Linked DNA regions of Drosophila melanogaster. The protein of the gene in region 4 purifies or fractionates together with the protein of the main gene of each other region. This does not show direct contact. Each region holds a gene or a part of one and is shown on either strand. Other genes may lie near its edges.

Region 1 (5,204 bases), on a different chromosome or scaffold from region 4:
TTTGAGTTGGGTAAAAGTTTGCAATGTGATTAAGGCATGAGGTGGAGACTCACATGTGGTCGACGTGGAACCCGAGCCGATGTGATGGAGTGAGGAGTATATAATCGCCAGTATCCAAAACAGCCTCGATCTCATCACTGCAGCGGAGTGTCTTCATATGCCGACTTACGGGATACGGTAACAGGATGCGGGATGATGCATCGACTGGCGCCACTCGCCGCAGGATATGCACATATGAACGAACGCCCCTCTAAACTGTTCTATATCGATCCAAGTCCAACTGCATCAGCGTCCCACTGCATCGCCAGCGATGATTCCACGGACTTCACTTCGCTTCGCTTATCGATTGCCCTGCGGCAAAATATTGCTGGACATATTGCACTCAAGTATCTTCTTTTTCAGAGTGTCCTTTTCGATTATATATGTATATTTACTTTTTCTTTTTCTCTTTTTTGTTGATTTCTTTGCACACTTTTCAGCGCGCGGATGGAGGCTGGAGGGATAGGAATGTCGGACAATTGGAAAATCGGAAAAGCGCTTATTAACCAGCTCGTGTTGCGTGTGTATTTATCCTTTTGCAACTGCTGCTCGGATGGCCAATAAACGGGAATGTAGGTCAGGGCATGCTCTGCGCATGGCCAGCATCCGCATCCCTATTATTTCATCCGAAGGAATCCCTCTACCCGAGCAACAACAACAAATAGCAGACGCCACTCACCTCTCAAGCTCAAAATAATGCAATCTTCAAGATTGTTTTAAAAAGAAAAAGACTTTTCTTTTCTTCTTTTGTTTGCATTTGTCCAGGAAAAAAGCTCTTTTCGGCGGATGGTTCTGATAAATATTTAACAATATAAAAGTTGCTTTTGCCGGTCCTTCGGCGTTGTTGTTCCCTCACCCACACTTGCTTCGGCACTGAATCCGCTCCGAAAGGCCAGCATCTCTCTCGGCATTCTTGCAATCCAGGGATTTCTACCCACCAAACAAGGTCCTTTGAATCCGTATAGCTCGGCATGCAAATAAATCGGGCGATTGAGCTCAGAAATACCTGTATTTTACTAATTGTTAAGAGCCTAGAGTAAAAATACAGATAAACTACCATTCTTTTACTGTCAAATTAAGCTTCAAATTCGAAATTCGATAAGTAACCGATATTTATCGATAGGCAAAGGATTACCCTCGCACATACGCGATCCGCTATAGCCATCTCGCTCCATCAATAATTTACCGTTAATATAGCGGGCTTTACTCAGAAACATCAAAAATATTTAACGACTTTAATTGTAGCATTCGCTGCGTTAAATTGTTTATCGCACTTTCTGCTTCCTGCGCATGTGCAGGAAATTAGTCAGACTATTTCGGTGATTGCCCCATTCTGGCGTGTATTGGTGAGAGCATAGAACTTACACTGCCCTCCTATGATATACATATGCATGCTTTTTTCGCTTTTAAATAAACTAATTAATAGACTAGTAAAAGAAGGATATACGGTAATGAACCTGTGAACCCTTAGGCGGAAAACTATTGCTGAATTTACATTTCATCCCTCTTTTAAAATCAGCTAGTGCAACATAACGGTTCTTGGTGTGATAAATTTTTGCGCTCACTGTTTGCAGCCGCCCTTATCTTTCGCTTTTTGGTGGTGTGCGTGAGCGCTATGAAATGACATAAGTGGGCACACAACACAGACACACACCCCTCTGAGGGGGGCACATGGATACGAAAAAGAACCGTTCATTTGCTTTTGTGCCGTTGACAATTGACATTCAATCGCTTTTTCCATTTGTTTTTATTTTCCCCCTTCTACCCTAAGTTTCTCCTTTCAAAGAAAACGCATTTGGAATACAAATCAGGCAAAAAACACGCGTACATAAATCGAGTAATCGAAAATCAGTGGCGATTTCGAAGGGTGTGTGTGTGTGTAGAATTACTACAACACACCACAAATACAGTTCGAAAAGGCAGCGCAGTCGGCAGAGGCGAAAAAAAAGCAGCGGCGTCAGCATTTCCATTTCGGCATTGCAGCTCGAAAATCGTAGAATCAGAAACTAATCAGCCGGCAGAGGCTATAGCAGTCGACCGATCGCAATCGCACCATATAGTACATACAATAGGTACCATTGCCTAGGAGTACCAGGAACCAGGAACCACTAATCTCCATCATCAACATCATGGAGGAGAACAACTCGCAAGTGCTGAGCCTGCTGGGCGGTCTGGCCATCGGAATCGTGGGCTTCCAGGTCTTCCGGAAGGTCCTGCCCTGGATTTACGCCAATGTTGTTGGCCCCAAGGTCTTTGGCTCCTCGGTGGATCTCTCCAAAATGGGCGAGTGGGCAGGTGAGTCGGTTGCCATGGAAAAACATGCCGGAAAGGAGCGGAAACGGGGTCGATTCCGAGTGCACAGTGAAAAAATGAATAGCAAGTTTGCTAAAGAAGTGTAGTTAAAAAGATTAAAGACCCTTTTACAATTAAATTGTGAAGAAAGGGAATTTCCAAATTGCAAACACTCTACTTTCAAGTTTTCCAATTTTGCATTAACTGCCTAAAGGAATACACTATATATCTTTCCAAAATGGAGTTCAGTACTTTTTTCACTGTGACCGATAAGATCGTTCCCCACGCCCCATAAATCCACTGATAACCCACAGAACTATTGGCTAACTTTTTCGACTTTCAGTTGTCACCGGGTCGACCGATGGAATTGGCAAGGCCTACGCCAAGGAGGTATGTACACAAAGATGACATGGAAGGGCTGCCCCAATCTTGACCAGCGCAAGCAAAGTCCGTCCAAGCTCGACCGATGATTATAGTAAAATGGGAAACGGGTCAAGCAAACAAACAAACAAAAAACGATAGTAATAATGAGCAATTAGTAATTACTAATTACCGAATTGAGTGTCGCCCACGATGACTTGGACATTGGTTTAGCGGTCGCCAATGCATTAGCCAAGTGAATCTGCACTTTGAAATCGATCTTCAGTCAACAGTCCAGTCGCAAACAGTCCCTAATAGTGTTTGCTTGACTGCAAATCGCTACATTTGTACTTTTCGTTATTTATTTTTACAAAGTGCAATCGCAGTTGATTTTTCTACCTTTTGTGGTAATTTTTTTTTTTTTTTGCCAGTTTTATTTTGTAATACACAGACTTGGAGCAAACGAAGCTAGAAGCTATAGGGAACACGTGTCCCCTGAATGGCAATTACTTTATAGAGTGGAGCACAGGGCCCCGATCGAAGCTTGTGCCAAATTAGCATTCGGCGTGCGTCGAACGCACAGAAAATGGTTCAATGTTCACACCCAATTTCTATTCATATACACGCTTAGTACACTTAAATGACTTCCTGTTCTTAAAATCTACGGGTTACTCGTCTTTGAAACTCCTGCTTTAGGTAGAAACGTTCAGTGTTCCCATTCCAAAGCACCATTGCTTTTTATCTCTGACCTAAGAATTTACTATCCAAAAGTACGTAAATATGAGCAGGCTAATAAATATTTAATCACTTTCAGTTGGCTCGCAGGGGCTTGAAACTGGTGCTGATTAGTAGATCCCTGGAGAAACTGAATGTGGTGGCCAAGGAGATAGGTAAGTCTGCTCACTAAAATACAGTTAACAACTTCAACTAACAACTGCTCTTTGCGGTCTACTTTCAGGCGATAAATACGGTGTGGAGGTGCGTGTGATCGATGTGGACTTCACCGGCGGTGACGAGATCTACGATAAGATCCGCGAAAAGACCACTGGCCTCAATGTCGGAGTGCTGGTCAACAACGTGGGCATCAGCTACGGCCATCCCGAGTACTTTCTGGACTGCTACAAAGCCGATCCCCCATTCCTGCGCAACATTGTGGCTGCCAATATCCACTCGGTGACGCACATGACCGCACTTTTTCTACCCGGCATGATTAGCCAGCGACGTGGTGTGATCATAAATGTATCGTCCACCGCCGGAGTCATTCCTAATCCGCTGCTGAGCGTGTACAGTTCCACCAAGGTGAGTGGATATCATCAGAAGTGATAGAAGGCTAATTACTAATACCTATAATTTGCAGGCCTTTGTGAACAAATTCAGTGATGACCTGCAGACGGAGTACAAGGAGCACGGCATCCTCATCCAGAGCGTCCAGCCGGGCTTTGTGGCCACAAATATGTCTAAGATCCGAAAGGCTAGCGTGTTTGCTCCCTCGCCGGAAACGTATGTCCGCTCGGCGCTGTCCACCCTGGGCATTGCCACCCAGACGGCGGGCTATCTGCCGCATGCTCTACTCCAGCTGGTCATCCACTTCACGGAGGCGGTGTTCGGCGAACAGTTCGCACGCAACATCGTTATGAAGAACATCCTGGGCACCCGGAAACGTGCCCTGCGCCGCCTGGCCAAGGAACAGTAGATTATTGAGGATGAATACGGCGGAGGAGGCATTTAATGGGAATCGGTTGGGATGATGAGTGGGTCAGTTGGGTTGTGGGGAAAATCCGGCTAGTCAAATAGCTTACGTAATTACCGCGTGTCATACGAATCCACAAACAGATAGCTTGAAATACCAAAAAAAAAAACATTTTTCCGAAATAAACTAAGTTTAGTTAGTTTTTGTCATTAATTAGCATTGAAGATTCGCAAACAGCCATGTCATGTAAACAATAAAAAATGTGTTACTAGATATATGTATATATCTAGTTTCCAATGATAAATAACGCCTTTTATTTGCAGTCCTTTATTTTGTATTTAACTTCTTATTTGTTCTTGCTAGCGATTTTTCTTTTTCCCTATGATTTTTCATGTTTTTCGGATCCAATTTGAATTTGAATTGGATGTGTCGATAACGGCAATAGCTATCGATTGGTCATCGATAGGCGCGCCCTTCGGCTAATCGGCGAGATGGGAATGACAGAAAGAGATACAACACTTCGCGCAGGGCGAAGAAGCAAAGCAAAGGGCAAAATTCATAAACATAACAGTAAAGATAGTGTATAGCCGGGCGTGAAATGTAATGAATCGGATTCATGACGTGACGTGTTATCAGGGCCAGCCCAATCCCAACTGCGCAGCAGCAGCGACAGCAACAACAATAACAACAACACATCAAGCTGAATCGAAGGAGCGTGTAATCAGTAATCAGAGTCGCTTGTTTTGATTTCCTTTCCTCGGAAACGAATCAACACGAAACGAGACGAGACGATTCGAAACGAAATGAAATCAAAACTCCGCTC
Region 2 (4,501 bases), on a different chromosome or scaffold from region 4:
ACGTGCGTTTCCATCAGGGCCGGATTCGAGGGTTTCGGTATCAGTAGTACGGGCAGCAGGCATTGTAGGCAATACATTCTGTGTGCGGTTGGGTGGGTGGTTGTGTTGTTGTTGCTATTTCTGCTTAAGATTTGGGTTCTATTTGCGTGTGCGTTGACGTGGTCTTCCGCGCGGCCTGCAAGTGTCCCAGGATGACCCCGGGGGGTTGAGGTTAGTCTTAATTGTTCTATAATTACTATCATTCGTAGTCCTGGGCAAAGACCACAAACGTCACCAGAACGCGGATCTGTTTTCCCAGTTCTAGCACGGGTCGCCGCTCTGCGGGATTACCTCCGATTGGGCCTCCTGGCGCTGACCTCTCGATTTTCGGGTCGTTTAGATGCTCGCTTGTTGTGCGTCGTTTTAAATCATCACATATTTACCAAAATTTACTTGTCTGGGCCTATCGGGCCCTATCGATAAGCCTATGTGGGTCTGAGTGGCAGTGTGACCAGCTGCCCAATACCGATATGTTGGAACTAGTGATTGCGCGGAACCAATAATACCGCCTAAATTTGAATTCATATTTCTTTCTTAATAATAATAATAAATAATATTTATAAATGTTAAGAAATTGTTTAATAAACAAATGCAAACAAAAGTAGTTGTAATAAAAGTACTCTCGAACAACAAAACAGTACAACTGACTTACTATTAGGTATACATTTATCTGTACTTTCTTTTTTCTTTTTCATCGGAAGTCTTTTTTTTGTGCGCGGAATTGGCTCGAATGGGATATGCAATTTACATATAAACATAATATATGCACGAATATTTATGTACACATGAATGAACCGACGTATGGCAGCGGTTGATACATACAAATTAACTTAATTATGCATTCCAGTAAAGGGTGTTATCATAGATCGACGGATCGGTAGCCAGTGGTACCAGGAACATCCATCCAACAAATCCAGCTAAGTAGAGAATAATGGCCACTACTCGTCGCCAGAGATCCTGCTGCCACAGATCCTGCAGATCCGGCAGACCCATATGATTGCAAAACGCGTGCACCAAGATGGGAGCCATCACATGACCTGTACGGGCAAATAGAAAGGCCGAATAGAAGCCAAATAGCGTGGTGTAGATGAACTGGAACAGTCCAATCAATAGGGCAGTGCTCAACTCCACGCCTAAGCTCAGGCGTTCGGCTATGTGATGCAAGTGGGCTACTCCGAAGAAAAGCGGCGTTATGAAAACGGCGACCAGGGGCGAAAAGCTCTGCAGGATCAGGGGCATCATGCAGGCTCGGAACACGAACTCCTCGCTCAGCGGTGCTATCACATGGTTGCGCACCCAGATGATGCTGCCAAATGATCCCCTCCAGTAGTCCAGATCTGCAATTCAAATCAAGCAGTGAGAAGGGGCTGATAGGCAGAGGGGCTTTAACTATTACCGAAGTAGGAGCGCACGGACTCGTTCTGCATGTTGACAAAGATGGGTCCCAGGAAGAGCAGCACCGTCAGGCTGTATGGTATAACAACAGCCTGCCACAATCCCTCCAAGCGCAAACCGAGCAGCTTGGGAAATGGTACCCGGCTGAGCAGCTCCGGCGATGAGAAGAAGTAAACGAAGAACGGGGCTGCCAGCATCACCATGGACACACTGGCGAATCTTCTCTTGACCGTGGTTGGATGATCCCGGTTGTGTTTGGTGCTCCAGATGTAGAGGCTACCCACGTACAGAACAGCCAGAACGAAGCAACAGCTCACCGAAGTGGCCACCGGGATCTGGGGCAATGATTCGTGGACTACATTTTCTTGCATGGTGACTTCGGCTTCCGTCTCACTCAGGTTTTTCATTCAATTTGTGTTATTCGTCATTCTTCGCTGACTATTAGCCGAAGAAAAAAAGTACACAACGACAGCTGATTTTCAGCTGACTGCAACAGTAAGACCATTGCTTCGCGAGAACTAGTTCAAGATGGCAGTGGCATTTGGTATATTTTTATCACCATGGAAAGTAGTCGTGCTTCTTGGTCACATTGTGCAGTGATAAGCATCGTGGAACGGCGGCGATTTTCGGTTGTGTTTTTAAACTAAATTTACCGACAAAGTTACGAAAATAAATTAATACCAAGTTAGCCAAGGTATTCAGTTACCACCGCAGATCAGCCAAGATGTCGTTCCTACTGAAAGCAGTTACCACAGCCCGTCACATCGTTCATAAGGTTTCCTCGCACTCACATTCCTCTATAATATATCAACTCTTCGAAAAGAGAAGTTGAAGTGACCTTTGTCTTGGCTTTGTTTATCTTTCGATGATAGGTTCCCGTGCGCAACCTGAATCTGCTGGAGTTCCAGAGCAAGGATCTCCTCCAGAAGTATGGAGTGGCCATACAGCAATTCAAGGTCTTGAATAACTCCAAGGCAGATGCCGAGGTCGTCAAGACTTTTGGTAAGTGGAGGACGGAACCATGCCGGTGTTTATGTAATCCCTGGGCTAATTGGTGTTAAATGCTGTGCTTCTGTGTTTCAGAGTGCCCGGAATACGTGGTGAAGGCGCAGATTCTCGCCGGTGGGCGTGGCAAGGGAACTTTCGACAACGGATTCAAAGGCGGCGTCCATATCACCACCAAGTATTATAGATTAGGTCTATTCCGGCTATTCACATTCACATTTTATCTAAAAAATTAATATTATTTATGTTCTACAATATCATTTGTATATAAGATTAATCTTATCATTCTGCCCATATTGAAAATGATAAAAGTTTGTGAAAGCCAGAGTGTACCTTAAAAACACAAGTGATAAGACCAGCTTATACTAATAATTATTTAACATTTTGCCAGCAAGAGCGAGGTGCTTTCGCTTACCCAGCAGATGATTGGAAACCGACTGATAACGAAACAAACGCCCAAATCGGGAATTTTGGTCAACAAGGTCATGGTGGCACGCAGTATCAACATCACCCGCGAGACCTATCTCTGCATCTTGCTGGACCGCGAGCACAATGGACCCGTGCTGATTGCCTCACCTGCCGGTGGCATGGATATCGAGGCGGTGGCCGAGGAAACCCCTGAGAAAATTAAGACTGTTCCGCTAGACATTGGCAAGCCCATACCGGAGTCGACGCTCTTGGAGGTGGCCAAGTTCTTGGAGTTCAAGGGAGACTCTGTAAAGCGTTGTGCTGAGGAAATTCAAAAACTCTATACTCTCTTCAAAGCTGTGGATGCCGTACAGATCGAGATCAACCCGCTGGCGGAGACGGATAAGGGAGAAGTTATCTCCGTTGATGCTAAGCTCAACTTTGACGACAATGCCCAGTTCCGTCAGAAGGATATTTTCTCCATGGACGTCACCGAGGAGGAATCCGATCCCCGAGAAGTGGAGGCGGCCAAGTACAATCTGAACTACGTCGCCATGGATGGCAACATTGGCTGCTTGGTTAATGGTGCCGGCCTGGCCATGGCCACCATGGACATCATCAAGCTGAATGGAGGCGAGCCCGCCAACTTTTTGGACGTCGGCGGTGGCGTCAGGGAGGATCAGGTGGCCAAAGCCTTCGAGATCCTCACTGCTGACCCGAAAGTCAAGGGAATCCTGGTCAATGTCTTTGGCGGCATTGTCAATTGTGCCACCATTGCCAATGGCATTGTGGCTGCATCCAAAAAGCTGCAACTGAATGTTCCACTGGTTGTGCGACTGGAGGGCACCAATGTAAATCAGGCTCGCGAGATCCTGAAGAATTCGGGCCTGCCCATTCAGACAGCCAGTGACTTGGATGATGCCGCCCACAAGGCTGTGGCAGCCCTTAATTAGGGGAACGATTGAGGAGAGCATGTCTTCCAGAATGAAACGACGCTCATTAGCATTTACAACGGTTGGGCCTTTTAAGTATAAGTTTTTATCGACAATATAACCAAAATATGTTATATTCTATATAAAAAGCTTTTTATTTGATTTAAGAAGTACCTTAGCCATCTATCAAAAATTAATTAAATTTAAAATCATTTATTTCTTAATTTAAAAAATGTATAATCTAAATTGTTTAATTTACTGTTTTGAAATTTATTGGTACCGTAGCATTTGGTATTTATTTTGTGGCCCCATGGTATTCTGCGGTATTACCAGTGCGGCCACACTGCAGTCCACACCCAAACAGCAAACCAAACAAACATTTCCCCAGGAAACCAGCGAAATTCCAATAGAATTTCCCACTCAAAGGATGCAAAAACCATCCCACTTCGCACGCGAGGATTCCCAGGAGCACCTGCCCACCAGCCACACGCAAAACAGTCACACAGTGAACATGAAGAGACGCACACTATCCGGAAGTTGTGGCGTTGGCGTCTTCGTGTTCGCCTTTGCCTTCATCGTGATTGCGTTTGCAACGCCCAGTTGGTTGGTCAGTGATTACCGCATCACGGGCGCCAAGCTGGATCGCCTGGGATTGTGGGTGCACTGCTTCCGGTCGCTGCCGGACGTGAACGACGATAGCCAGCGGAGATTCTTCGTGGGCT
Region 3 (5,217 bases), on a different chromosome or scaffold from region 4:
GGCCGACTGCCGACGGAGAGCGCGTGCTCTTCCAAAGAACTTAGTCATAGACGATTCCTTTTGCACGCAGGCCTTCACCGAGATGCAGATCAATAAGCTGGAGACGACCAAGAAGATCCACATGATCGACATGAAGTGCGACATGGTCAAGACAGGCAAACAAAAGTACCAGCTGACAGAAAAGGGCACCAGCAGCTTGGCCGACGACACAAGGTACATAACTAGAATCACAATTAATCATCTCCAGGTGTTCAGGTGGCTAATTGAACTGTTTCCCTATAGAGTTTACCAGTCCGTGGGTCGCATGTTCCTGCTTACCGATGTACAGAATATGCGCGAGGACCTGAAGGCTAGGCAGGAGAAATGCGACAAAGCGATAGAACTGCTGGAGAAGAAGAAGGAGTTCTTGCAGAAGTCCCTTAAGAGCCAGGAAGACGGTCTGCGCGAGTTGGTGCAGCAGCGCAAGGAAGCCGATCAGACTGCGAAATAGACTACAACTCCAAACTGGCATTTATCCCTCAACGCAATTGCTTATTTATTTTCAATATACTCGTCTAAATTGAAGTTGGCGTAGCTGACAAACTTGTTGCCCAGATTGCGTTCGTGTTCCGGGCGGAAGCTGCACTTGAGGACGGGCAGGCGAGCGGTTAGCCAGGGCTCCACCACCTCACCGGAGCACAGGATTACCTTGCTCTCCTTCTGGTTTCGTTGCAGCCTAGTGATTATTTCACACGTTTTGGCGATGCACTCCTGGGACAGGAAGGGCGGGTCGGCCACGATGAGGTCATATTGCTGGTGGTGCTCTTTGAGGTAGTCCGGGTTGCTCCCTACGCAGTTCAAGTCGTAGTGCACAAAATCTGTGCCATAGGCCTCGAAACGCTTGTCGAACTCGAATATGTGCACTACAAGATAGAATGATGACAATTCATTCATAATCGTTTCACATGTCCACTTACCTGTGTCATGTATCTCCCTGATGTCCTTGTAGAGCGATGGGCAGGAGAGCAGTGCTATACTAAAGTCACCCGAATCCTCCGTGCGCTCCGCCAGAAGCTTACGCACAACATCACGCAATGCGTGCTTGGTTTCCGTGCTGTACCAGAACTGACTCAATTGCTGCAAGCGAAGAGAGTTTCACCATAAGTTTCTAAGGTATGTGCAGGTGCTCTTGCCCAATCCTCCTCGAACTGGGCATCCTTGCCGGTCTTGTTGGCGATTTGATTCTCCTCCTCGGCTTCGCGTTTTGATCTCTCCAACAGAAATTCGTTTAAAATGGCCAAAGTGTCGGCGGGCAGCGAGATGTCGTCGTCCATAATTAATTATTTGCCACTAAATGAATCTTAGAGCATTCAAATCAAAATAAACCAAAATGTGCGTTTGAAGATTAGAGGTGCGAAATTAGCGATACAAATGAGAACTTATTGGGGGGATTCCAGGCCTTGGCGCTGTTTTCAAATTGTAAATTATTAGAAACTTAGGCCAACTGCGATATTGAAATTATACTTTCAAAATAATATGCACTTTAACCGTATGCAAATCGATTACCAATTTTAATTTATTTTAAGTTATTTTATTAATACAACTAGCTCCAGAAACCTGTATCGTAACTTTTATTTGACAACACATTTTCAAACTGTACTGAATATTTAGGCGTTTAATCGACAACTAAAACAGCAACTTTCAAGTACGTGGTCTTTAAATTTCGTAAGATCGAGAAAGCAGTGCGATACAAATCGGTGGCAGCCCTGTGTCAGTTCGTTTTTATCGAACTAGATCAACTTTGCCCGTCCATCTCTAGTTCGCACGGGAGCCCCGACCAAACTGATACGTATTAATTTACGAGAAAAACTTGCGTTTAATTCGAAGTCACATCATATCGCAGGCTGGAACGTACCTGCTGCTAAGTAAGAGGTAAGTGAATGGCCAACGTGAATTAGGAAAAATCAGTGCCTTGCCGGAAACGAAATCCATGTGATTAAAGGCTAACTTTCTTCGCTTGACGTCGTTCCCAAATCGGATAAAAGTGTGCTGCTGGCCCAGTAATTACACTGGTGAATTATGCAGGTCGGCATTTGGACTCGCTCCGCGACTTCCGTGCGGGGGAGGAAGCATCCAATCCCCAAGCGCAACCGTTTCGAATTTCTACAGCGCGGCGCGAAGAGCCCTGCACTTTGATTTCGTTGCCGTTCATTGTGGAGTTCAGTCGGGTCAATCAGCCTCAATTTGCGAGACTTACCTTCTGAATCTCTGACGTGTACCTACCAACCAAACTGTCCACTATGTGACATCATATAATTGGGCTTCCGACTCCGGACTATTGCATGAATAATGTGCGCGCGGGTTGACAGGTGCTACCTTAAATTGACTAGGTGACCCACTTCCGTTGAAGGACCCTCCGTCCACAGATCCCAATCGATACGGCTGCCCCACTGCCAGTCTCATTACTCGACATGTAAATCGAAAGTACACGTAGGATGGACCCCCTCGGTTGGGTTTACTTAATCGCTCAGACCAGCCCACTCCCCCTCCCATGTTTCACCTGTTGCCACCTGTTTGTGTTTCAATATTTTGACGTGTATTTCGTAACAACATGCACATTGTGCGCTGTCTTGCAGTTTTCTCTTCGAGCTTCGTAACGAAATCTTTGCGTTTAGTGCGCTAGGCATCATAAACCGCATACTCGAGAAATATAATTGCCAAACCGTAAGAGTACATGATACTTTAGCGATGGCTTGGCTGTTTTCTTTTTTTGGTTGCCTCATGCAAAGCACTGTCCGTAATGGTGGGCAAGTCATCTTGGCTAAAGCGAACATTAACACGACTTTTGGGCCAGCCCGTTCTCGTTTTAAGTGCGTTTGCCAGCCACTTTCCATTTGACTGGTTTAACAGTTGGCCCTGACTTTCAATTAAGACGTAAAGCGCTTGGCACTGAGAAGCGTAGTGCAGTCTAATCCTGGAGTCATAGAGGGCAGATCTTGCGGGCTATTCATTAGGTTGGAACCCTCACACATCAGATAGCGCCGCAGTTACTTAGCCAAGGTTCTCTTATCGCTGCCTATGCCTAAGATAGCAGCCAAATTCCCGCCGATAAGGCCGAAAGTAGAAACCTTATACTGATTTTCATAACTGCCTTGCAGACTGAATACTGAACGGAAAGCGAGCACGAAAGCTACTTCATCATGAGCGCACCCACCGACCAACCACCGCGCTCCGAGGGCGCTCAGACCAACAGCTCCGAGAGATCCTCACAGCAGCAGGAGCAACCGCAGCAATCTCAATCACAGAACGTACCGGCCAAGCTCCTGCAGCATTTTCAGACAAATCGCATAGATTCCGCGCTATGGGCACTACGTCTGCTGGTCATCTTCTTCACCGTCAGCTACGTGCTGCCCATCTTTACGTGAGTACACGCGTTTTCCACATTGACCTACTCTAATTTTCACTTACTTCTCCACAGCTCACAACAGAGCGCATTCAGCAAGGTTATGCTGGCTAATGCCGCCATCTCTGCCTTGCGTTTGCACCAGAGATTGCCCGCGTTCGCGTTCAGTCGGGAGTTCCTTGCTCGACTGTTTGCCGAGGACTCGTGTCATTACATGATGTACTCCCTGATCTTCTTCAACATCCGCCCATCGCTGCTGGTTCTGATTCCCGTGCTGCTGTACTCAGTTCTGCACGCCTCAAGCTACTCGCTTAAGCTGCTGGATGTAAGGAAAGCAATATTTCACATTTGGCACTTGTCTAATAAGAAATGTACTTACAGCTGATTGGCCAGAACTCGTGGTGGGGTGCCCGTTTCATCATCTCCATTGTAGAGTTTCAGGCGGCGAATATCCTGAAGGCAACTGCATTCTGCGAGATCTTCATCATGCCTTACGCCATTGTGCTGGCCTTCATGTGAGTTTTAACACATATCTTTCGAGGGGAATGCACTCCAATGCAGAATACTTTCAATTTTAGGAACCACGCTGGATTGATGACGCCCGTTATTTACTACCACTATCTGGTGATGCGCTACAGCTCGCGACGAAATCCCTATCCGCGCAACGCTTTCGCTGAGCTGCGTATAACCTTCGAGGCGCTGGCCGCCCGCTCACCGCCCGCCTTTGCCAAGATCATCCGTGGAGGCATTGGGTTCGTCAACCGCTTGGCGCCGCAGCTACAGCCGGCTGCAGCGCAAGAGTAGACACGACAAGCAGCTAACGGAAAACAACAATCAAATGACATATGAATAAGGCTATTTAAATACCAGTTCACTTGCATAGATGTTCACACAGGAGATTGGGGTTCATCCGTTTTATTTGTTAGCCGAAATTCGTTGCACCTTTTCGAAGCGAAACTAGTTGTTTTACACCAGATTGTTTCGGCATTTAAGTTTAAATTTATCTATATATTATTGTAGTTTTTTTTGAGTACATCATCATGCTTTTTTCAACAACACACAATGTGGCAACGCACGAATTCCGCCATGGAGGATCAACGGCGCGTATTACTATATTTATATCCCAAAAACAAATTATTTCAATTTGTTTTGCTTTAACTTATATGTTCAAAATACTGATCAAACGAAAAACATGGACAGCTAACGCTGTTAGTAATTATTTACATATATTTTGTATGAGTGTGTAAAGATTCGAAGAACCAAACAAAGTAAAGTAAAGTTAAATAAAACATTTTGAGAAGGTACTAGAATTTGGACTACAATTTTTTCTGGTTGATTGGCTTTAAATCTTCTGCTACTGTATTAAGTGGTTTGCACTTAACTTGTTTCTTCTCAAGCCAATTAAAAAATGATATCAATCGTAATAATTTTCGTATCATCCTTAAAGTATGCAATACCTTAATTTCTCCACTTTTGGTCAGCGGGCTCAAACAGGTGAATGGAAGCGTTCCCCAACATACTCCAGATCAGGATCACTAGTCGATTTGGCCATGTTCCAGTCGGACACGAATAGTAGCAATCTAAGCACTTTTGTACAGCGCCGAAGCATCAACCCACAACGAAACTAATGAAATGATTTCTGGGTGTGAGGCTAGGGCGTTGGTAGCTTGTCGTTGGCTCTGGACTTCTTCCGAATTTCCACCAAGTTCAATGAACTTCTTGCGCAGCGCCAAAAAAAAAAAATGTTCGTCCAAATGAGGGTGAAGGCACCCGAGCTTTGTTGTGTTGTGTAGGTGAAACGACTCACTTTCGTTCTCAGTGCCGGGAAAACTTTG
Region 4 (4,238 bases):
TAATAAAAGTTAAAAAGATGATTACTGTTTGAAGGTGATGGGCATGGCAATTCGCTCATGCCGCAAGGTGTTAAGAACCCTCAGTATTCGCATAATACGCATATATTCATCTGGATTGTGGTTACGAATAAAGCCTTTTCCAAAATAGGCCGTCTAAAAAGAAATCGAGTGGTTATAATTTATAAATATAAGAAGTCCATGACTATCTTACCCTAAGCAAGCTCTTTTGAGTTTCCGGACAAAACTCATATGAAGCCGCCTCAATACATTCGGACACTGCCAGATCGATCTTTTCCCGACACATGCTGAGATACTCATCCGACTTGTAGGACTTCTCCTCAAACTTTTTCTGTGCCTCAAAGAGATAGCTAGCCGGTTCCTGGCTATTCACTGCAAATATGTTCTCAACGCATTTTGGCAGGCGCTGTATTATTTCATGCGAACTCTGAGTAATAATGCGAACGCCATCCATTTCAGCCACAAGAAACATCACCGGATCGTAGGGAAAGTCACTGCGATCAGCGTTACGATTTACAATTAAGAGGTACGATGGATATGAAATGACCACCGCATCCGCCTCGCTGTTGTCAGAGTTCATGATCCACTCCATTTGGAGGGGCATATCTTTACGTCCGGTGTCGAATTCACAATACTTTTGCCGCATATCTACGCTGCCCAGCCAAAGAAGACCGGTGTTGGTGTACAGTGCCAAGTGCTGATGGTTGTACGACACAGATATCTTTATGATTCGCTCGTGCGGTTTCTCAAAGAGATTGGCGGTAATAGTTCCCACAGTTTCGCCTGGAAACAGCTTTATGACCTCTCGATCCCTTCCCAGCAGACAGTAGCTGTTGCGTCCCTCGGTTACGATCTCCCAGCAGGAACAGTTCATGCTGGAATCTGTTGAGCAATGACATAATATTCTTTTGGTATTTCAATGGTTTTCTTACTGGGAATATCCGGCAGCTTTCTTTCAGTCTTGCTGCTGTTCTGCTTGAGGAAAACCCGACCGGATGTGGTCATTACAGCCACTCCTGTGCCAGCTGAGGACTGGAACACCTTGCCCTCCACAATCTTTGTGACACTGGCCTCATCGCCGATGCTGTAGGACTCCTTTTCCCGACCAAACATGTCGTAGACAAAGACGGTGGCGTTCTCCTGGATGCAGATAAGCTCCTCCATGTCTGACCAGCCCATGGCAATAAGTTTGCCATGGTTCCACTACGGTGATTTCAATATTTGAGATAATATTTCTTACTTTCGATTAACTCACCAATATGTGACCCATTTCCCTGCCGGTGGTATCAAAGATGCGAATCATGGGTCTAGCGTTACCCTTTACCGGCACCAATTTGGTCGGATCACGAGTGACCGCCAGTGGTCCTCCATAGGGAGCCACTTCCACCCACATATACTCCAAGTCCAGGTCCAGAGGCCAATCAGGCGTAGCCAGTTCCACTTTTCTGTGAATGGGATTAATGGGCGTATCCTTCAGTTGGTTTGTATAGAACGGATGGATTAGGATTACCCACCTGTAGTAGTCCGGTCGCACCTTGAACCACTCCCCCGTGTTGTACATGATAGGCATGTTGTCTGAGTTATTAGTTCCTTATTTTAATCGAAAAACATTAGTCTTATCCGCTTGCATTTTTCACCCACAGTTTGCAGCGCAACAGCTGATTTTCCAGAGTTGTCACTCAATAGCAAATTTGCAATCCATCGATATTTCTCATTATCGATATTTTTAACAGTTGAAATTGAGCATAACAATTACCATTAACAGGAGAGCAGATGAAATAATCGATGGTGTAATCGATGGTTGGGACACTAATAAGCGCCTCATTTCACATGTGAAGGGCCCAATTACACTGGCCAGTATTAAATTATCTGTTAAATTCTTAACAATCAGACTGACAGAATGGCGGACACCAAGGAGACGGTTGTGGAGGGCGTGGAGGCGTTGACACTAAATGGAAAACCGGACGCAGAACCCGTGGAAACGGGCACGGATGCCCAGGCACAGGAGGGAGCCACTGCACCCACTGAAGATGTTGTGGATCCATGGAATGTGGCCAGTAGTAATGACGCGGGCGTCGACTATGATAAGCTGATAAGTAAGAAGACATTTGCAAGGCAAATTATTAATCAAGTTAATCAAACGACATGTTGACACGTTGCAGAACGGTTTGGCTCCAGCAAAATCGATGAGGAGCTTATCGCGCGTTTCGAGAAAATCACGGGAAAGCCCGCCCACCACTTCATCCGAAGGGGCATGTTCTTCTCGCACCGGGATCTTCATACGATTCTAACACTGCGCGAACAGGGCAAACCCTTCTATTTGTACACTGGTCGCGGTCCCAGTTCCGGATCCCTGCACGTGGGCCACCTGGTGCCCTTCATCATGACCAAGTGGCTGCAGGAGACCTTTGATGTGCCGCTGGTTATTCAATTGACCGACGACGAGAAGACCTTGTGGAAGGATCTGAAAGTGGAGGATGCCATCAAGCTTGGACGTGAAAACGCCAAGGATATTGTGGCCATTGGATTCGATGTCAACAAGACGTTCATTTTTAATAACCTGGAATTCGTGGGGTAAGTAAATTAAAAAACTTTTAACCTGTATAATCTGTATTATCTATATTACTTACAGAAAATGTCCTGCCATGTATCAGAACATCATTCGCATCCAGAAGTGCGTTACCTTCAATCAGGTCAAGGGCATCTTTGGCTTCGGGGACTCAGACATCATTGGCAAGATTGGTTTCCCAGCCGCTCAAGCAGCTCCCGCGATTTCCAGCACCTTCCCCTTCATCTTCGGCAACAGGAAGGTGCACTGCCTCATCCCGTGCGCCATCGATCAGGACCCATATTTCCGCATGACTCGCGATGTGGCTCCACGTCTTGGTTTTCCCAAATGCGCGCTCATCCATTCGACCTTCTTCCCGGCGCTGCAGGGTGCCAAGACGAAGATGTCGGCTAGCGACCAGAACTCGGCTGTTTATCTGACGGACACGCCCAAGCAGATTAAGAACAAGATCAACAAGTACGCCTTCTCCGGAGGACGCGTATCTGTGGAGGAGCACCGCAAGCTGGGCGGAGTTCCGGAAGTTGATGTCTCCTATCAGCTGTTGAAGTTCTTCCTGGAGGACGATGCCAAGTTGGAGGAGGTGAGAGTGGCTTACAGCAAAGGCGAAATGCTTACGGGCGAGATCAAGAAGCTGGCAGTTGAGGTAAGTGCAATGATGATGCTACAATCTTCCCAAAAAACATTGTAATTAATGTGCTCAAATGATCTTCTTAGACGCTCACACCCATTGTGGAACAGCATCAGGCCGCCCGCAAGCTGATTACGGACGAAGTGCTGGACAAGTACTTCGAACTACGACCCCTGAAGTTCGGAAGTTAGAACGGTAGCCGAATTGAGGTACCTGCATTTGCTTGACATCGATTCTTACTACCAGTTTATATGAAATTAGCTTAAATCGAACTAAGCGATATTAGTTTAGCACCGAACCGACTAAGGCACTTCTATGTAAATAGCTATACAGAATTGATCTATGCCTTGGCTCTGAGTCCGTGTGGCGCCCACTTAATGCATCGTTGTACTCGCTATTTATTTTATTTTTTACACAGCGTGTTTATTTTTATAAAGCAGAAAACAATAAACTTCGGCTTCGATTTGCAATTGCCACCACAGTGACCCACATTTGGGAAGTTGTTAGCAAGTCTATACATTTTCCTGGAAACCCGAAACGTTCAGCCAAGGAGAGAAACAAGTCAACTCTCTAGGTTTCCCTAGAAACTACACTCTGCTCATATTCATTTCCGATTCCGGGCAAAGGTGCCTCTCTGGTTAGCCAGCTAGCAAAATAACTCTCGACTTCGGAAAAATGTAAGTAATTTTCTCACTTCTAGTTGTGTGTTGTTTTTTTTTTCTGGTAACCCGAGATCTTGCACATGAATTGAATTTCGCGGGCTATCAGTAGATATTCTTCTAGTTTTTTCCTTGCGGTTTATAGTTTCAGGAATTCTGAATTTTCGGAAGAAAAAAATAATTTGCTAGTTAATTACTATTAATTAAAGAAGATATGTAGTAATAATGGAAACTGTGCTCAATATCTCAGTCTTTTAAGCAAGTATCTATTTCAATTAAGAAAAATCATAAAAATAGGTATAGAATATGTAATATAATTTTTAATAGGATTATAAGAGCACTTAGCTGGCGATCACGGTTTTTC

Evidence for each region.
Region 1: the proteins of TrpRS (region 4) and spidey purify together in Drosophila melanogaster (affinity purification with mass spectrometry, with the first as the bait; one large-scale study listed by BioGRID). This does not show direct contact.
Region 2: the proteins of TrpRS (region 4) and ScsbetaG purify together in Drosophila melanogaster (affinity purification with mass spectrometry, with the first as the bait; one large-scale study listed by BioGRID). This does not show direct contact.
Region 3: the proteins of TrpRS (region 4) and Kr-h2 purify together in Drosophila melanogaster (affinity purification with mass spectrometry, with the first as the bait; one large-scale study listed by BioGRID). This does not show direct contact.

The regions. Positions count from the first base shown.
Region 1 is NC_004354.4:7,907,204-7,912,407, forward strand, and holds spidey (spidey), read left to right. Parts: upstream 1-1,727; 5' UTR 1,728-2,168; coding exon 2,169-2,334; intron 2,335-2,674; coding exon 2,675-2,721; intron 2,722-3,505; coding exon 3,506-3,581; intron 3,582-3,649; coding exon 3,650-3,990; intron 3,991-4,048; coding exon 4,049-4,384; 3' UTR 4,385-4,682; downstream 4,683-5,204. Other genes in the region: dpr14 (defective proboscis extension response 14), read right to left, coding at 54-135.
Region 2 is NT_037436.4:5,561,201-5,565,701, reverse strand, and holds ScsbetaG (Succinyl-coenzyme A synthetase beta subunit, GDP-forming), read left to right. Parts: upstream 1-2,010; 5' UTR 2,011-2,158; coding exon 2,159-2,209; intron 2,210-2,306; coding exon 2,307-2,436; intron 2,437-2,517; coding exon 2,518-2,617; intron 2,618-2,830; coding exon 2,831-3,800; 3' UTR 3,801-4,001; downstream 4,002-4,501. Other genes in the region: bc10, read right to left, coding at 1-77; Sras (severas), read right to left, coding at 874-1,376, 1,436-1,841; sinu (sinuous), read left to right, coding at 4,207-4,501.
Region 3 is NT_033779.5:6,069,277-6,074,493, forward strand, and holds Kr-h2 (kruppel homolog 2), read left to right. Parts: upstream 1-1,713; 5' UTR 1,714-1,911; intron 1,912-2,936; exon of another isoform or gene 2,937-3,137; 5' UTR 3,138-3,179; coding exon 3,180-3,400; intron 3,401-3,457; coding exon 3,458-3,707; intron 3,708-3,763; coding exon 3,764-3,897; intron 3,898-3,960; coding exon 3,961-4,186; 3' UTR 4,187-4,685; downstream 4,686-5,217. Other genes in the region: Pfdn1 (prefoldin 1), read left to right, coding at 71-213, 283-490; CG9154 (uncharacterized protein), read right to left, coding at 532-902, 957-1,116, 1,173-1,313. UniProt on the Drosophila melanogaster protein: Member of the dosage-dependent hierarchy effective upon white gene expression.
Region 4 is NT_033777.3:9,264,472-9,268,709, reverse strand, and holds TrpRS (Tryptophanyl-tRNA synthetase), read left to right. Parts: upstream 1-1,805; 5' UTR 1,806-1,918; coding exon 1,919-2,114; intron 2,115-2,180; coding exon 2,181-2,592; intron 2,593-2,650; coding exon 2,651-3,230; intron 3,231-3,301; coding exon 3,302-3,406; 3' UTR 3,407-3,683; downstream 3,684-4,238. Other genes in the region: Vps16A (vacuolar protein sorting 16A), read right to left, coding at 26-153, 212-900, 951-1,221, 1,274-1,463, 1,533-1,588.